Canis lupus familiaris: one gene and its partner. The protein of the gene in region 2 purifies or fractionates together with the protein of the main gene of each other region. This does not show direct contact. Links are inferred from orthologs where the notes say so. Each region holds a gene or a part of one and is shown on either strand. Other genes may lie near its edges.

What was found. The genes of interacting proteins can lie anywhere in the genome.
Region 1: the proteins of methylosome subunit pICln-like (region 2) and GAR1 purify together in Homo sapiens (affinity purification with mass spectrometry; 3 studies listed by BioGRID and IntAct, counting the BioPlex papers as one, with this or other methods). This does not show direct contact. The link is inferred for Canis lupus familiaris from reciprocal best matches to the Homo sapiens genes CLNS1A and GAR1.

Annotation. Positions count from the first base shown.
Region 1 is NC_049253.1:9,889,958-9,900,029, reverse strand, and holds part of GAR1 (H/ACA ribonucleoprotein complex subunit 1), read left to right. Parts: intron 1-4,623; exon of another isoform or gene 4,624-5,145; intron 5,146-5,180; exon of another isoform or gene 5,181-5,234; intron 5,235-5,267; exon of another isoform or gene 5,268-5,474; intron 5,475-5,584; 5' UTR 5,585-5,595; coding exon 5,596-5,791; intron 5,792-7,252; coding exon 7,253-7,407; intron 7,408-7,864; coding exon 7,865-7,924; intron 7,925-10,072. UniProt on the Homo sapiens protein: Required for ribosome biogenesis and telomere maintenance. Part of the H/ACA small nucleolar ribonucleoprotein (H/ACA snoRNP) complex, which catalyzes pseudouridylation of rRNA.
Region 2 is NC_049260.1:41,160,361-41,170,355, reverse strand, and holds methylosome subunit pICln-like, read left to right. Parts: upstream 1-4,907; coding exon 4,908-5,024; intron 5,025-5,182; coding exon 5,183-5,704; 3' UTR 5,705-6,451; downstream 6,452-9,995. UniProt on the Homo sapiens protein: Involved in both the assembly of spliceosomal snRNPs and the methylation of Sm proteins.

The DNA of each region.
Region 1 (10,072 bases), on a different chromosome or scaffold from region 2:
TATTACTTTAGTTAACTGTGATAATGGTATTGTGATTATGTTTAGAAAGTCCTCTGGGAAAAAAAAAGTCCTCTGGTGGAGATTTATGGATGAAATGCTATGTGAAGCTTACCACAAAATACTCTAGCCCCCCCCCATACATACATACATATATATATATATATATAGAAAAATATATAATAGTAATTTATAAATAATTATAAGATAATAAAATATTTTGGAATTACAAATTTAAGAATATTTATTTTTAAAATAAAATATTTTAAGGATGCCTGGGTAGCTCAGTGGTTATGTATCTGCCTTTTGCTCGGGGCATGATCCTGGGTCCGAGGATTGAATCCCATGTCAGGTTCCCTGTGGGGTGCCTGTTTTTCCCTCTGTCAATGTCTCTGCCTCTGTTTCACTTATGAATGAATAAAATCTAAAAAAAAAATAAGTTTATATGCATAATTTATAATTATATATATTATAATAATGAAGGGATAGATGAAACAAGATTTGCAAAATGCTGGTAATTGTTGAAACTGAATTATGAGGTTTGTTATACCGCTCTCTGTGAACTTTTATGTTTGAAATTTTAATAATAAGTTTTAAAAAAGAAAGTCATGAGTTCATATTGTTTCCAATTTACAGTCAACTTTGGCTAAGTCCTTAGAACATCTTGTTCTAGTATAAGGTTTTTCAGCCCTTTCTCTTCTCTGTTGTTTAGAATATCTCCTTACCAAGTATTTTAATTAGATTCCCTAACTTTTCAGTAGCACAAATGGATGTATGCTACTTATATGCTTTCTTTTTCCCTCCATTTTTTTTTTTAAAGATTTTATTTATTTATTCGAGAGAGAGAGAGAGAGAGAGAGAGAGGCAGACACACAGGCAGAGGGAGAAGCAGGCTTCCTGTAAGGAGCCTGATGTGGGACTCAATCCTGGATCCCGGGATCATGCCCTGAGCTGAAGGCAGATGCTCAACCGCTGAGCCACCCAGGCATCCCCCTCCATTTCTTTTATAATCTCTTTGTCCATTATTCTGTAGTCACTTTGTTGACAAACACAATAAATGGTCAGAAATTCAAATTATAAAGTTCAGTTTAGTTCAGGTAACAAATACTTATTGGGCATTTTTTTTTTTTTTTTTATAGGCACTGTGCTAAATGCTTAGGATTCCAAAACAAACTGTAGTGTCCATTCTTCGGGAACTTAGAATCTAGTGTAGATTTCTCAGTTGGGTTCTGTAGATGCCGTTAGGAATTCTGTGAGAAGTCACTAGGAATTCAAAAAAAAAAAGAAAGGGGAAAATTTTTAATTTTTTTGACTTTCCTTCTCCATGCAATGCCAGTACTTGCAGTAATGAAAAGTGATCAAGCAGCTCTGTTAGTAATTTTGCTAGAGACTTTTCAGCTATATGGCAGTGTCTGCATGACTATGTCCATTTGGTAGAGTCCACTCTGTTTTTGATGTGAGATAGGGGATGCTATTGATAATTAGTGAGTGCTGAATTGTACTGAGAGGGTAGTGATAGGTTGATGGCATCAGCTTCTCCCTCTTGAACTGTATCATCTCCTTATCCTTCCTCAGCCTCTCCATACCCACAGCTACCAGAGAGCAAACAAACTTTCCCTGATATGATTAAAAAAAAAAAATCAAGGAGTAAATTCTAAGTAAAGCTATGACTCAGATGCCTCCCTGTTGTTTTGTAATTTTGTGATTGCAAAACATGGAGCTTGTCATTAAGAGTGAATTATAAAGATTTCATTTTTCCTTTCTGATTTCCTTGTGTAGTTTTCTTGTTTTACACTTTGTTAGAAACTGTTTTACAAACACGACTTAAAGTCCAATGTGATGATCTCAAGGTCGTGAGATTGAGCCGCACGTACTCAACCAATTCAACAAGGTCATGTAAGGAAAAAATGTCTCCTAAGTAGGCTAGTTTCTGCAGCCATTCTTGATCTTCAAAGAATTTGGCAAAATCTCGCCTATTTTCTTGGAAGTATTACCACAGTCCACTTCTCAGCGCAAACATCCTGTTTGCGCTGAGAACCAAAATCTGTATTAGTTTTTCTTATTGTGTAACAAATTAGAACCAAAATCTGTATTAGTTTCTCTTATTGTGTAACAAATTAGATTGATAACAATGATAGAGCAGAGTACTCAGAGGTCTGAGTCCAAAGATTCAGAAACCAAGGGTATGGTGCTATCATGAAGACTAACAGGGAACGGGAATGACGCACAATTTGGGAAGAATAAGAGATGAGGGTTGGGACCGAAAAGGACTGAAAACTCTGAGACTCTAGGGTTCTACTTTGTTCCTCTAAGTGGCTGAAGTTACTTCACGTCTCTGAATGTTACTTTCTTGCTGTCAAGAAGTAAAATAAAGGGGTACCAGGTAATCCTGAAGGTCTTATAAAACTTCAATAATTTTTATCACAGTGAGTTAGAAATAAAAGCGGACCCCAAATGGAGCTAAACGCTGAACATAAAAGTTAAATGAAGCAAAGCAAAATAGGGCAGGGCCGTTATGAATAATATTCTTCATGATATACAGTATTTAAAATACATTTACCAAATATGAATAAAAATACATTTATCAAGTTCCTTTTATATCTAGGCTTCTTAGGGGCTTAGAATAGTGCAGAAAACATATTGTGATTCCTAGTGATGAGGGAACAGAAGGCTAGCTGAGGACAAAGCACAAGCTCACACCCTGCAACACCCCCCTTCCACTCCTAGGTGGGAATATATGTGACTTTCCCCCAGGAAGTTCCCAAGTATCTTAATGTTAATGCCCCGCTAGAGGAAAAACAACTTAACTTTGATGTAGGAAGGAGCGGCAAATGGGGCTAGGCAGGGAAAGTTAAGGGAAAGGCTGAGAATCAAGCTCCCAGAAATCTGTGGGTTCCCATAAACGAAAGGTCCAGAGTCAGGCTCCCACCCATCCCAAGAAAACAAAGACAGTAAAAACAGAGAAAAATAATAAACCTGGCTTCCTAGCTCCAAAATGTTGGGGAGTATCTCCCTTTGATGGTTACTAAGTAATCACGGAAACTCACAAGACCACAAAGAAGTCAGTCATTATGGTGTTATCAATACTCTCTGATCAATCCAAGACTGCACAAGAATCTCAAGGCCACTGGGCTCCCTGGCCCGGTTCTCAATCAAAGACTGCCACTAAAAGCCCTGTGGCAATCCTGTGGGGACCCCTCTGGCTTCTGAGAACTTTCTCTGTACCTCTGCTTACTAAACTTTTATCGCTTTGCTCACTCTCTATTGTCCATGAGATTCATTCTTCAACTCCATGAGGCAAGAACCAAGCTCTCTCATATCAACTTGACAACTGCAAGGCCTCCAGTATCTTACAGGTCCTCCCCAACATACGGAAATCTTTTTGAAACTTCCCTTTTCCTTACCTTCAACTCCCAGGTATATAATCAGCCAGCCCTCACTAGCCGGGGGGCAGCAGCACTCTTCCTGCCTGTGGGTCCTGCCCCCATGCTTTAAAAAAAACAAAACAAAACAAAACAAAACAAAACAAAACAAAACAAAACCACCATTTTGCACCAAAGACGTCTCAAGAATTCTTTCTTGGTGGTTGGCTCTGGACTTCACCCCAGCAAACCTCACCTATATTTCCAAAACTACATCACTAGTATTCCCATAGCGAAGCTCACAAAGTTCTTCCCAATTACATCAGCCCTCTGAAGCAGGTACCAATCCCCACCCTTTCAAAGAAGAGGAGGTGGACTGTGTCAAATACCAAAGGAAGGAAGGTCTCGAAAGATTCCAGTATAAAAGAGACCAACCAAATTTAACAAATAGGAGATCACTAGCTTTCCTTGGTAGAGAAATCTCACCGGAAGCTTAAATTAGGTATGAAGGTCTTAAAGGAAAAAAAGGATAGAGGGGCTTGTAGCATAGATGGTCCACGGCCTGTGTCAGTGCTCAAAACCTACTCTCCAGGGACCCCTGGCTGGCTCAGTCAGAAGAGCCTGACACTCTTCCGCTCCCAGCTGTGAGTCCCAGCCCTATGTTGGGTGTAGAGATCGCCTAACTAAAAGGTAAAAAAAAAAAAAAAAAAAAGGCCCCGGTGGCTCAGCAGTTTAGCGCCGCCTGCAGCCCAGGGCGTGATCCTGGAGATCTGGGATCGAGTCCCATGTCGGGCTCCCTGCATGGAGCCTGTTTCTCCCTCTCATGAATGAATAAATGAAATCTTTAAAATAATTTTTTTAAAAATACGGCTTCGCTTTTTGTTACATAAAATATACTTTTAAAGAAAAAACATTTTTATTTATTTTATTTTTAGTAAAAAAAAACATTTTTTAAAATTTTTTTTTATTTATTTATGATAGTCACAGAGAGAGAGAGAGAGAGAGAGAGAGAGGCAGAGACACAGGCAGAGGGAGAAGCAGGCTCCATGCACCGGGAGCCCGACGTGGGATTCGATCCCGGGTCTCCAGGATCGCGCCCTGGGCCAAAGGCAGGCGCCAAACCGCTGCGCCACCCAGGGATCCCCCCCAAAAAAAAACATTTTTAAAGAAAAGAACACACGTGCACGCACGTCCCCCCTTCCTTTAACGAAGCGTAACGACGGGACAAAAGGACCGCCCCGGTTCACCTCACAGTCGAGCTTACCTCAAAAGGTCCGGAAGAAACACACGCGCTCAGAAGAACGCAGGAAGCCCTGCGCGGGTTGCGACCCCACCAGATCCACCCCTGCGTACAGCGCAGCTGCAAACTCAGAGACGGGGCAGTACAGTTGCTGGGGCTGGCGACGAACTAACGAACGAGGAGACCATTCTGCAGCCTGAGAAGCCAGGGCTCCCCACCAGCTCCCAGCCACCTGGAACCGCCAGGTCCCCGGGAGAGGGGGGCGGAACTCTCACGCCAACCATCTCCCGGGGCAACAGCGCGGCCGCACTTCCGGCAACTTCTCGAGTCAACGGACGCCACTATTATACGTCATTTCCTCCGCTCCTCGTAGGCAAACGGACGCGACTGCCGTAAACTACTGTTTGACGGTGGGTAGTAGCGCCGCTCTTCCAGCGCTGAAGGCCGTTTTGGAAATGGGACAGCGCCCCCGGTTCTGCCGGTGACTGGCTTTTTTTGTAAATCAGTCGTTCGAATTTCTTGTCGCTCCCCGCCACCTTTGTGCGGGTACGGTGGCCGAGGAGGCTCGTTCACGGCGGAAGTACCGGGCTGGCGGGTGGGTGGGGGCAGCGGGGCCGGAGGTGCACGTGGCTCCGGTGCGTTGCGGTGGCGAGCAGAGGGGTCTGAGGATGTCTGGACGCGGGACCCAGCTACGGAGGGAGGGGGGAAGGAAGGGAATGTGGCGTGAAGACCTTTCTGCCTGCTGGGGGAGGAGATACTGACCGGGGGCGGAGAGGCTGGTGAGCGGTCGGTCCGCGCGCACAGGGCAACGGGAAGGTGACACGCCTCACCCTCGGGTTCATCTCTGGCGGCTTGGCCTTGGGCGAGGTGGCAAGGTTGCTGTACTTCTTACTGTCCCGCTGTATGATGTTCTGACCGTGGCACAGAGGGTGGTGCACCCAGAGGCCACAATGACCAAAAAGATACGTACTGTTTTTCTTACCAGGTAGAGTAAGCATGTCTTTTCGAGGCGGTGGTCGTGGAGGCTTTAATCGAGGTGGTGGCTTCAGTCGCGGCGGAAGCAACAACCACTTCCGAGGTGGAGGCGGTAATTTCCGAGGCGGCGGTGGTGGTAGAGGAGGATTTGGACGAGGAGGTGGCCGCGGAGGCTTTAACAAAGGCCAAGACCAAGGACCTCCGGAGCACGTAGTTTGTATGTCGGTTTCAAAGCTTAACCTACTTGGGGGCGGAGGTTGTGGGTTTAAGTTTGGGAAATGAGCGTGCTGAAAGGCAGCTCTAGCAGCTCTCCTATGGAAGTTGCTGCTGGGTTGGGGAATCGGGTCTGGAGATGCTGTAAGCTGACTTACAATCGTGTTGTAGCGCTCAAATGTAAAGGGGCGATCAAGAAGGCAGAACAACACTTAGAATGCGTCGTGGAGGTGGAACTTGAGCTTGGGCTGAAAGGAAGTTATTAAGTAGGTAATACTGTGTGTTTATTCCTGTTGTCCCCGTTTTACAGGTAAGAAAACCGTGAGAGTTGAGTTTCTTTGCTAGGGTCGTAGTAATAAGTTTCTTTGCTGGCATCATATTAATAAGTGATCCGTTTGAGCTACAAAGCCACGTTTTCTGACTCCAAAGCCCATGCTCTCCATTGCTTTTCATAAGTAAGAGAAGTGAGGAAAATTGCTTGTTAGGGAATCTACAGAGGGGAGGGAAGCCAAGGAAAAAAAACCTAATGAGAGTAGATTTGAAGTAATTATCAATGAGGTGGGATGGAAGTCCTGGGACGTGAGACAGATTTGATAGTAGAAGCCTACATCAAAAAGGAGAAGTGATGAAGAGAGTGCAACCTCACACTGGTTGGATCAGTGTGCAAAATGGTTTGAAGAGTGCAATGGCTAGAGTCATAGGTCTATGTGAAGTAGCCCACAAGCATGCAACAGTCCGTGCATGATGCACTGTGAGGGTAGTGAAAGTGAGGAGAAAAAAAAGGACGGGTTTGATGGGAGAGCAATTTCAATGGAAATAAATTCAGTAGAACTTGGCTAATTCTTGGGAATAAAAGGTTCCAGGTTTGGATTTTGGGTGATAGGGATGAAGAATTGGTTTTGGAGGGATGTGATGAGTTTTTTAGTTTGGGGTGACGGTCAGAAATAAAGGTAGTTATTTTGGATTCCACGCGTCCCTGAAAAAGAGTGAAGAGTCATTGGTAAAGACGTGGTAGTAGGAGGTTATTAAAGGGAGGAAAAAAGGAGAACAAAGACTGATTTACAATTAGGGACCGGGGAAATGAAGAGACAGAATGTAAGCATGGTGCTTAATAATAATACTTATTGTTATAATAAAACACCTCTTATAGGTTGGATGGCCTCAATGTGCCAGGTACTTTTCTAAGCACCTGACATTTATTATTGTATTTATTCCTCATAGTAATATATATAGGGTGTTGGTATTGCTATTTGCCCTTATTAAGAATAGGACAGTGAATCAGAGAAAAGAATCTTACCCCAGGTCACAGAGCTAATGTGGAGTTTTTGGCTTTTTTTTTTTTTTTTTGCCTCAGAGGAGAACACATAAGTGAAATCCCAGGTACCCAAGAAGAAACTTCCAGATGATGTTGGTCAATATCATTTGAAACTGTTTTACATTTTAACATTTTCTTGTCCTATTTCAGTATTAGGAGAGTTCCTGCATCCCTGTGAAGATGACATAGTTTGTAAATGTACTACAGACGAAAATAAGGTGCCTTATTTTAATGCTCCAGTTTATTTAGAGAACAAAGAACAAATTGGTAAAGTGGATGAAATATTTGGACAACTTAGAGATTTTGTATCCTTTTTCATTAGAAGACCCAGTGATCTCATTAAAAGGTTACCATTTGCTTTTTTCTGGAGCTAAGTATTGTTTTAATTAAACTTCTTGTTTTATTCAATTGGGAGAGAGTATTGGTAAGATTGTAACATAAAGGAGAATCAAGAGAAGAGAATGTATCTCCCCGTATTGAAAAGGAAGACTATAATAGAGTAACTTCCTTTTTGGAAGGTTTAAGAAGTGATTACCATTTGGGTAAGTGCTACAGGATTAAGGTACTTTGCTTTGATTATGATGATGCTACTGGAATAGCGTGGAATTAGAAGTTTTAAAAATAAAAACTTCATTTCCTCTTGGAAACTTATTTCTTACTTTTTCTAGATATTTCCATATAGCTTTGTTTTTAAAATTACATAGGAATTCAGAAGGTTACCTCTTGTGATCTTAATTGCTTATTCCTTAATGTAACTAATAGTATTTTTCTGTTAAATTGTCAGAAAATATGAAGGCATCTTCCTTTAAAAAACTGCAGAAGGTGAGTGAAGCTTCTGATAAGTAGGATCTTTGGTTTTGTAAGTAAATGACCTTCCTTAGGACAGTGCTACTTAGAGCACTTGAACCCTCCAGTATATCACTAGTGAAGCTCTTAAATTGATATGTTCTGTACTTTAAATGTTGAACTTACTGATCCTTAAAAGTAATTTAATACAAGCTTTCAGAAATTACTCTTAGGCAAATTCTGTAACTGCTACAGTATGTTTTTTCATTTCTGCAAGATTCTTACTGAAAGCTTACATGACCAAACTTTCTAAATAAAGCGTTAAATTAGGAAACATTATTTGAGAGAAGTCAGATATTAAATGATTTCACAGATCTTTCAAAACATGATAAATGCTGTGAAGGAGAACTGCAGATTGCCATGAGGATGTTAGTAGTGGGACCATATTTAGTATATTGGCTTTCTGAATAAACTAGAAGCTGAGACCTGGAAGTTGATTAGAGGTGATTTCCAAACCTTGTTGCTCATCACAATATCTAGGGGAGCTTTTAAGGTCATGTATTTCTTGGTCCCACTCTTAGAAATTGGAGCTGGTAAGTCCTCAGATAGGGACCAGGCTTCAATTATAAAAAGGCAGGCTCCTGGATAATTTTGATGTAATTAGATTAGCACTTGGGAACCACTGCTATTCAAACAGGTGGGAAGCACATTATAAGTAGAGAAAACTGTACAGGTCTCTGAGACAGCCAGTTTAAGGATCTGAAAAAGGCTGAAGTGTAGCTTGGACATAGATCATTTAGGAGGGACTAGAGAGGTAGGCAGGGGCAGGGTTACTAAGGCCTTAGGTCATGGGAAAGCATTTAGTTTTAGTTTTGTTTTTAAATATTAGGATAAATACAGTTAAATTATACTTAAAAAGAGCACTAGAAAAATTAAAGAGCACCCTGGAAAGGGGTTAGTACTGTATGTGAAGGGGCCAGGTCAGAGACTGTTGCATCAGTCCCAGAAGAAATGGTGTTTCGGACCAGGGTAATAATGACAGTGGAAATGGAGAAAAGTGGATGGATTTATGAACAATACAGGAAGTAGCATTGATAGATCTTGGTAGTTGATTAACAATTGAAGTTAAAAATATCACCATCTTTCAGATGTCTGATTTCAGATCTTTGTGGATGGTGTCACCATGTACCAAAATGGGAGACACCGGAGAAGAAGGAAATTGGGGGAAGACGATGAATTCACTTTTAGACATGAGGAGTTTGAAGCACTTGTGAGATATTCACATAGGAGCTCAAAGGAAGAGCCTGGATTAGTGATGGGATTGCAGGTTGTCATTGTGCAGATAGTATATGATACAGTCTAGGAAGAAAGAGTAAGAAAAAGAGCTTTGGGGTATCTCCTAAATTTTATATCTATCTGGAGACTAAGAATAACACCAGTAAAGGAGGAGGCAAACCAGGAGAGTTTCATAAAAGTAGTTATCTTCTGAGTCAGGAGAATAGAAGTGGTCAGCTATGGCAAAGTACTGCCGCAGAGTTCTTTGGACTTAGCAACAGGCAGGGCAAAAGGTCATGGAGCCAATGGAGTGGTGGGCACAGAACCCAGATTGGTGTAAGAGATTCTAGATGGGGACAGTGCCTTCTTGCTGGCATATGGCTGCTGTAGAAACTGGCAAGTAGCCACTGGGAAATTCAGCTGCTTCAGGCAGGCCTGAGAGCCAGGCTTCTTATTTGGTGACCTGAAAAAAAGAATTGGCCTGTGATAGCCACTTAAATTTGATCTGGATGCCTGTCTTTTGTCACAGTATTACTTACTTGAGGATTTATTATTTTTTAAAAAGATTTTATTTATTTGAGAGAGAGATGGAGCATAAGCAGGGGGAGGTGCAGAGGGAGAGGGTGGAGCAGACTCCCCACTGAGCAGGGAGCCCAATGTGGGGCTCAATCCCAGGACCCTGGGATCATGACCTGAGCGGAAGGCAGATACTTAACTGACTGAGTCACCCAGGGGCCCCTGAGACTTTATTATTAAGTGTTTTTGTTGTTGTTTGTTTTTTTCACGGATGCTAAATTGGGACATTCTACCTCTCTTCATTTCTAGATCCACTGCTCAGGTTCAGGTCCTCATTATCCAGCCTAGGCTATCCAATTGAATTTTCTGCTTAGTAAATACCTGCTTAGTAAA
Region 2 (9,995 bases):
CAGGAGAGGGAGAAGCAGACTCCCAGCTGAGCAGGGAGCCCAACTCAGGGCTCCATCCCAGTACCCTGAGATCATGACCTGAGCCAAAGGCAGATGCTTAACCAACTGAGTCACCCAGGCACCCCAAACTTCAAAATCGTCAAGAAACTAGACCTAAATTGTTCCCACCACAAAAAAGAAATGATAATTATGCAATGAGATAGAGATGTTAGCAAACACAATAGTAATCATATTGCAATATATAAATGCATCAAATCAGTATGTGTATACCTCAGGGGATCCCTGGATGGCTCAGCGGTTGGGCGTCTGCCTTCGGCCCAGGGCATAGTCCAGGAGACCCGGGATCGAGTCCCGTGTAAGGCTCCCTGCATGGAGCCTGCTTGTGTCTCTGCCTCTCTCTCTCTCTCTCTCTCTCTCATGAATAAATAAATAAAATCTTTAAAAAAAATAAAAATAAACCAATATGTGTACACCTCAAACTTATATGTTATATAACAATTATATTTTAGTTTTTTAAAAAGACCAAAATAAACCCAGAGCAAGCAGAAGGAAATAGAAAAGAGCAGAAATTAATAAAGTTGAAAACAGAAAAATAATAGATAAAAATCAATGAAACAAAGAGGTGGCTCTTTGAAAAGATCAATAAAATTGAGAAACTTCTGGCAAGACTGAAAAAAAGAGAAAAATCAAATTACCAATATCAGGAATGAAACAAAGGATATCACTAAAGACCCTGCAGACACCAAAAGGATGAAGCAAATATAAACAACTCTTCATATATACATTTGATAATTTAGATGAAATGGACTGATTCTTTAAAAAAACAAAACAACAACAACAAAAAAAACCAACTACCACAAATTGACTGATATGAAATGGATAATTTGAATAGCCCTAAAACAACTAAGGAAATTTAATCCATAATTTAAAACTCACCAAAAAAGAAATCAGTCGATCAATGAATCTGTGGCCTAGATGGTTTTCCTGGAGAATTTTACCAAATTTTTTTTTTTTAAAGATTCTGTTTTATTCATGAGAGACAGAGAGAGAGGCAGAGACATAGGCAGAGAGAAAAGCAGGCTCCATGCAGGGAGCCTGATGGGCACTCCATCCTGGGGCCCCAGGATCATGCCAGAAGCTGAAGGCAGATGCTCAATCGCTGAGCCACTCAGGGGTCCCTTACCAAATTCTTTTAAAGAATTAACACTGGCGGGGATCCCTGGGTGGTGCAGCGGTTTGGCGCCTGCCTTTGGCCCAGGGCACGATCCTGGAGACCCGGGATCGAATCCCATGTCGGGCTCCCGGTGCATGGAGCCTGCTTCTCCCTCGGCCTATGTCTCTGCCCCTCTCTCTCTCTCTCTGTGTGTGACTATCATAAATAAATAAAAATTAAAAAAAAAAAAAAAAAAAGAATTAACACTGGCGGCCCAGGTTTAGCGCCGCCTTCGGCCCAGGTTGTGATCCTGGAGACCCGGGCTCCCTGCATGGAGCCTGCTTCTCCCTCTGCCTATGTCTCTGCCTCTCTCTCTCTCTCTCATGAATAAATAAATAAAATCTTTAAAAAAATTAACACCAATTACAACACCTCTTACAGGAAAAAGAAGAGGAAGTGATTCTTCCAAACTCATTCTAGGATGCTAGCATTTGCCTGTGACAGGCTAAAAAGGGACCCCCCCACACACAAAGATATTCACATCCTAATCCTGGCAACCTGTGAATATCACCTTTATAGGGCAAGAACAAAAGAGTCTTTGCAGATGTGATTAAGGATCTTGAGATGAGTACCCTGAATTATCCAGGTGGGTCCTAAATGCAATCACATGTATCCCGATAAGAGAGAGGCAAAAGAACTTGACACACACAGACACAGAAGGCAGTGATGTGAAGACAGAGTCAAGAGATTTGAAGATGCTGGCCATTAAGAATAAAACGATGAAGCCAAGGAATAGCTGCAGCCAGCCAGAAGCTAGAAGAGAGGCAAGGAATAGATTCTCCCCTAAAGGCTCCGGAGGGAGTACAGACAGCCCTGCCAAAACCTTTATTTTGGCCCAAGGATACTTACTTTGGACTTAAGGCCTCCTTAAGAACTATGAGAGAATCAATTTCTGTTATTCTAAGCCACCAAGTTTGTGGTGATTTGTTGCAGAAAACACATGAAACTAATACATTCCCTGATTACAAAATCAGACAAATACAATATAAAAAAGAAAACTACACACCAATATCACTCATGAATATGTAGGAAAAAATTCTTGATAAAATATTAGCAAATATAATTCAACAATATATTAAAAGAATTATACACCATGACCAACTGGGGTTTACTCCAGGAATGCAAGGCAGGTTCCACATTCAAAAATCAATCCATGTGAGGGACGCCTGGGTGGCTCAGCAGTTGAGCATCTGCCTTTGGCTCAGGACGTGATCCCAGAGTCCTGGGATCGAGTCCCACATAGGGCTCTCTGCATGGAGCCTGCTTCTCCTTCCTCTTCCTATGTCTCTGCCTCTCTCTGTGTGTCTCTCATGAATAAATAAATAAAATATTTTTAAAAAATCAATCCATGGGCAGCCCGGGTGGCTCAACAGTTCAGCGCCGCCTTCTGCCCAGGGTATGATCCTGGAGACCTGGGATCGAGTCCCACGTCGGGCTCCCTGCATGGAGCCTGCTTCTCCCTCTGTCTGTGTCTCTGCCTCTCTCTCTCTGTGTGTCTCTCATGAATGAATAAAAAAAGAAAAATAAACCCATGTAATTCACATTAACAGGATCTTAAAAATTACATGATAACCAATGTAAAAAAATTTTTGACAAAATTCAACACTCATTTCCGCCAAAAATATGAACAGAAACAGGAATAGACAGGAACTTCTTCAACTTGATAAAGAGCATCTAAACCAAAACTACAACTCATATTATATTTAATGGTGAAAGACAATATTAACAGCAGGCAAGAATATCCAAGGGGCATCCCGGGTGGCTCAGTGGTTTAACGCCACCTTCAGCCCAGGGCCTGATCCTGGAGACCCGGGATCGAGTCCCACATCAGGCTCCCTGCATGGAGCCTGCTTCTCCCTCTGCCTGTGTCTCTGTCTCTCTCTATGTGTGTCTCTCATGAATAAATTTAAAAAATCTTAAAAAAAAAAAAAGAATATCCATTCTCACAATTCTTATTCAACATAGTGCTAGAAGTTCTAATAATGTAAAATTAGGCAAGAAATGGAAATGACAGGTATACAAAATAAAAAAGAAAAAAGCCCCTATTTATAAATGAAATGATTACCTATGAAGAAAAATCACCAAAAAATCTCTAAAAACATAAAAACCTCAGGACGCCTGGGTGGCTTGGCAGTTGAGCATCTATCTGCCTTCAGCTCAGGGCATGATCCCGGAGTCTGGGATCAAGTCCCACATCGGGCTCCTTGTGGGGAGCCTGCTTTTCTCTCTGCCTGTGTCTCTGCCTCTCTCTGTGCCTTTCATGAATAAATAAATAAATAAATCTTTAAAAATAATAATAATAAAATAAAATAAAAATAAAAACCTCCTGGAGCTAATAATTGAATTCAATGAAGTCACAGGAAACAGGATACAATACAAAAACCCACTGTATTTGTTTGCAATGAAAATGTGGACTTCAAAATTTAAAATATAAAATCATTTATAATCACTTAGAAATATGAAATACTCAAGTATAAATCTAACAAAACATGTAGAAAACTTATAAATCAATAACAACATGCTAGCAATCATAAAAAAAAAAAGGACAGGACTGGAGGCATTGTGCTGATTTCAAACTATCATACAAAAGCTATATAGTAATCAAAACAATATGGTATTGGCATAAAAACAGACACATAAGTTAACAGAATAGAACAGAGAACTCAGAAATAAACCCATGCATATATGGCCAATTAATTTATGACAAAGGACCCAAGAACTTTCAATGAGGAAAGGACAGTCTCTTCAATAAATGGCATTGGAAAAATTAGACAGCCAGTGCAGAAAAATGAAACTGGGGACCACTAGCTTATATCATACACAAAAATCAACTCAGAATGGATTAAAGACTTGAACCTAAGACCTTAAGCCAAAAAATCCAAGAAAACATAGGCAGTAAGCTCCCTGACAGTCTTGGTGATGCTTTTTTGGATTTAATACCAAAAGCAAAGGCAACAGAAGCAGACAAACAAATGGGACGACATCCAACTAAAAAGCTTCTGCACAGCAAAGGAAACTACCAACTAAATGAAAAGGCAACCTACTGAAGGGTAGAATATATTTGTAAATCATATATCTGATAAGGGGCAATATCCAAAATATATAAGGAACCCATACAATTCAATAGCAAAAATAAATAAATACTTATTTAAAAACGGGCAGAGGGGGATCCCTGGGTGGCGCAGCGGTTTAGCGCCTGCCTTTGGCCCAGGGCGCGATCCTGGAAACCTGGGATCGAATCCCACGTCGGGCTCCCGGTGCATGGAGCCTGCTTCTCCCTCTGCCTATGTCTCTGCCTCTCTCTCTCTCTCTCTCTCTCTCTCCCCCATCCTCTCTCTCTGTGTGACTATCATAAATAAATAAAAATTTAAAAAAATAAAAAAAATAAAAAAATAAAAAAATAAAAACGGGCAGAGGGATGCCTGGGTGGCTCAGCAGTTGAGTGCATCTGCCTTCGGTTCAGGGCATGATCCCAGGGTCCTGGGATTGAATCCCACATCAGGTTCCCTGCATGGAGCCTGCTTCTCCCTCTGCCTATGTCTCTGCCTCTCTCTTTCTGTGTCTCTCATGAATAGATAAATGATCTTTCAAAGAAGACATGCAGATGGCCAACAAATACATGAAAATATCCCAACATCGGGAGTCGCCGTGCGGCAGCTCCCTCCTGGCCTATGTCTCCGCGCTCCCTGCCGCAATGAGCTTCCTCAAAAGTTTCCCGCTGCCCCGCTCGGCCGAGGGGCTTCGGCAGCAGCAGCCCAAGACCGAGGCTGTGCTGAAGGGCAAGGGCCTCGGCACCGGCACGCTCTACATCGCGGAGAGGTTTTGAGTCTCCGGCCCCTGAGTGAGAATCATCAATGTGCCTGTCTCTTCTGTGAAAAGGTGTGGGAGGTGTTGCTCTTGGCAAGATATCCACCTGTCTTGGTTAGATGGCTCTGGATTAGGATTCTCACTGGAATACCCCACCATTAGCTTGCATGCGATGTCCAGGGACCTAAATGCCTATCCACAGAGCATTTGTATGTTATGGTGAATGCTAAATTTGGAGAAGAATCAAAAGAATCTGTTGCTGAAGAAGAAGACAGTGATGATGATGTTGAACCTATTGCTGAATTTAGATTTGTGCCTAGTGATAAATCAGCATTGGAGGCAATGTTCACTGCAATGTGTGAATGCCAGGCTTTGCATCCTGATCCTGAGGATGAAGATTCAGATGATTACGATGGAGAAGAATATGATGTGGAAGCACATGAACAAGGGCAGGGGGACATCCCTACATTTTATACCTATGAAGAAGGATTATCCCATTTAACAGCAGAAGGCCAAGCCACCTTGGAGAGATTAGAAGGAATGCTTTCTCAGTCTGTGAGCAGCCAATATAACATGGTTGGAGTCCGGACAGAAGATTCAATCAGAGATTATGAAGATGGGATGGAGGTAGACACTACACCAACAGTTGCTGGACAGTTTGAGGATGCAGATGTTGATCACTGAAGATGATTTATGCTGCTGTGGGATTCTGCTCATAACTAGGAAAGAACTAAAGAACTTGGTGCCTCTTCTACTGTGGAGTGGGTGTTGATGAAAGTCTTTTTCCTTCTCCAAAATTTACCTGAACCAGTTCTTTTTTTGAGACAGACTATATACTGAGACAAAAAGTTGTCACCAGCAGAAGAAACTATGACCTTTATTAACAAAGGTGAATTAACTTAACCAAGAGGGTATTTGTAGTTTATCATCTACCCAAAACTTTTGTGTATAGGTATCCTCTGAGTAGGCCTATAGTTCCTGCTTTCACTATATGCATCTTCTGTAACCTGGCAGGCCTATGTGGTGAGAATGCGCAGGTACTTGAAGACATAGGTAGACTGGATGGGAAGGAAGGAGGCTGAATCTAAGATATATCCTTTAGAGCCTAAGGATTCCCTTACCCCTTAAAAAGAAAGACAAAGAGATCTCAGAGAAATCCTGGCCACTGCTTGTTCTTCACAGGGATTAAGGTCTTTTTACTAATTTGGGATCCAGGTTAATTCATTTAGGCATCTTTAGAGAGCCTCTTGGGAAATATCCTAGCCACATGAAATACCACTAATATGGATGCTTCTGATTAGCTTTTACTTCTTTCACCATGTTTCACCAGTCTGTTTTGTTATAACCTCTTAGGTTATAGCCTTTAATTTCTAACCTCTTAGGTCAGTTTCCATAACAAATGAAATTGGGACGAAGTCCTCACAGTACTTCAATGATAATTGTTTTGTCTTTGTAATAGTTTAACAAATAAGTCTAGGTTTTCTATTAAAAAGAAAAAAGAAAAAAGAAAATATCCCAACATCACTAATTTAGGGGCACCTGGCTGGCTTAGTCTGTAGAGCATGTGATTCTCGATCTCAGGGTTGAGTTTAAGCCCCACACTGGGCATGGAGCCCACTGGAAAAAAAAAAAAATCACTAATCTAATCATTGGAGAAATGCAAAATAAAACCAGAGTGAGACATCACCCCACACCTGTTAGAATGGCTAGTATCAAAAAGACAAGAAATAACAAGTGTTGGTGAGGATGTGAAGAAAAGGGAACACTTGTGCACTGTTGGTCGAACAGAAACTGGTACAGCTGCCGTGGAAAACAGTATGAAGTTTCCTAAAAAAATTAAATCTAGAACTATCATATCATCCAGCAATGCCACTTCTGAGTATTTATTCAAAGTGGAATAAAGCAGTAACAAAGAAAAAAAAAAAACAGTAACAAAGAAATATATGCACCCCCATGTTAATTGCCACATTATTTGCAATAGCCAAAATATGGAAGCGATCTAAGTGTCTATTAACAGATGAATGGATAATGAAAATATGGGGTGTGTATGCGATATACACACAATAGAATATTATTCAGCCATAAAAGAAAAGGGAAATCTTGCTATCTGCAAGAATATGGATATACCTTGAAGGCATTCTGCTAAGTGAAATAAGGGAAATATAAAAAATAGTGAAAGGGAAAAAAGGGGAAAGGATAGAAAATGAGTGGGAAAGATCAGTGAGGGTGACAGAACATGAGAGACACCTAACTCTGGGAAATGAACAAGGGGTGGTGGAAGGGGAGATGGGTGGGGGCTTGGGGTGACTGGGTGATGGACACTGAGGGGGACACTTGACGGGATGAGCACTGGGTGATATGCTATATATTGGCAAATTGAACTCCAATAAAAAATATTTAAAAATATATTAAAATGCAAAAAAAGAAAGAAAGACAAACACTGTATGAGGTCACTTATATGTGGGTTCTAAAAACAAAACAAAACAACAAAAAACAAGTTCATAGTACAGAGAACAGATTGGTGGATGCCAGATATGGGGCAAAATGGGGGAAGGGAGTCAAAAGGTACAAACTTCATTATAAAATAAATTACGGGGATCCCTGGGTGGCGCAGCGGTTTGGCGCCTGCCTTTGGCCCAGGGCGCGATCCTGGAGACCCGGGATCGAATCCCACATCGGGCTCCCGGTGCATGGAGCCTGCTTCTCCGGTGCATGGAGCCTGCTTCTCCCTCTGCCTATGTCTCTGCCTCTCTCTCTTTCTCTCTCTGTGACTATCATAAATAAATAAAAAATTTAAAAAAAAAGTCTTAAAATAAATTACGTCATGGGGATGTAATGTACAGCATGGCAACTATAGTTAATTAAACTGTATTGCATATTTAAAAGTTGCTATGAGACTAAATCTTAAAAGCTCTCACCACAAGAAAAAAATTAATAACTATATATGGTGATGGATATTAACTAGCCTTATTGTGGTGATCATTTTGCAATACATACAAATATCGAATGATTATGTTGTATACCTGAAATTAATATAATGTTGAAGTCAAGAATACCTCAATTTAAAAAGAGCATGGTAGGGATGACTGGGTGGCCCTGCAGTTGAGCGTCAGCTTCAACTCAGGACGTGATCCCGGGATCTGGGATTGAGTCCTGAATCGGACTCCTGCATGGAGCCTGCTTCTCCTTCCCCTGCCTATGTCTCTGCCTTTCTCTATATCTCTCATGAATAAATAAATAAAATCTTTTTAAAAAAGAACAACACGGGATCCCTGGGTGGCGCAGTGGTTTAGCGCCTGCCTTTGGCCCTGGGCATGATCCTGGAGACCTGGGATCGAATCCCATGTTGGGCTCCCGGTGCATGGAGCCTGCTTCTCCCTCTGCCTATGTCTCTGCCTCTCTCTCTCTCTCTGTGTGACTATCATAAATAAATTAAAAAAAAAATTTTTAAAAAAAAGAACAACATATTGGAGAAAGAATAGACAATTTTATCAGTGGAACAAACAGAAAGAAAGTAGACCTGAGCGCCTAGGTGGATCAGTCGGTTAAGCATCTGACTCTTCGTTTCAGCTCAGGTCATGATCTCAAGGTCTTCAGATCAAGGTCTGCATCAGGCTCCACGCTCAGTATCAGTCTGCTATCCCTCTCCCTACACTGCCCCCCCACCGCATCGCTTGCACAATTGTGCACACTCTCTCTCTCTCAAATAAATAAAATATTTAAAAAGAAACAGGAGGGATCCCTGGGTGGCGCAGCGGTTTGGCGCCTGCCTTTGGCCCAGGGCGCGATCCTGGAGACCTGGGATCGAATCCCACGTCGGGCTCCCGGTGCATGGAGCCTGCTTCTCCCTCTGCCTGTGTCTCTGCCTCTCTCTCTCTCTGTGACTATCATAAATAAATAAATTTTAAAAAAAAAATTTAAAAAAATAAAAAAAAAAAGAAACAGGAAAAAAGAAAAAGAAAAAGGAAATAGACCCACACAAATATAATCAACTGATCTTGGACAAAGGAGAAAAAGCAATTCAATGGAGAAAATAAATAGTGCTGAAACGACTGGACATCCATATGCAAACAAAAAAACTAGACTCGGTCCTTTTATCTTTCACAAAAATTAACTCTAAATGGATCTTAGACCTATATGCAAAATGTAGAACTATAAAACTTCTACAAGATAATAAGAGAAAATCTAAGTGACTTGGGTTTGAAAATGTTTTAAAATACAACACCAAAATTACGATTCATGAAAGGAAAACTGACAAGTGGGACTTTATTAAAATTTTAAAATTCTGCTCTATGAAAGACACCATTAAGAAAATAGACAAGTCACAGAATGAAAGAAAATATTTACAGAACACACATCTGATAAAGGACTTGTATTTAAAACATATAAACAATTCTTAAAACTCAACAATAACAAAATAAACAACCCAATTTAAAAATGGATAAAAGAGGGACGCCTGGGTGGCTCAGTGGTTGAGGGTCTGCCTTTGGCTCAGGGCGAGATCCCAGAGTCCTGGAATCGAGTCCCACATTGGGCTCCGCACAGGAAGCCTGCTTCTCCCTCTGCCTATGTCTCTGCCTCTCTCTGTGTGTCTCTCATGAATAGATAAATAAAATATTTTTTAAAAATGGATAAAAAGGGGCAGCCCAGGTGGCTCAGCAGTTTAGCGCTGCCTTCAGCCCGGGGCCTGATCCTGGAGACCCAGGATGGAGTCCCACGTCGGGCTCCCTGCATGGAGCCTGCTTCTCCCTCTGCCTGTGTCTCTGCCCCTCTCTCTCTGTCTCTCATGAATAAATAAATAAAATCTTTTAAAAAAATGGATAAAAAGGGGGGCACCCGGGTGGCTCAGTCAGTTAAGTGTCCAACTCTTGATTTCAGCCTAGGTCATGATCTCAGAGTTGTGAGATAGAGCCCTATGTTGGGTTCCATGCCCAACAGGGAGCCTGCTTAAGATTCTCTCTCCCTCTCCCTTTGC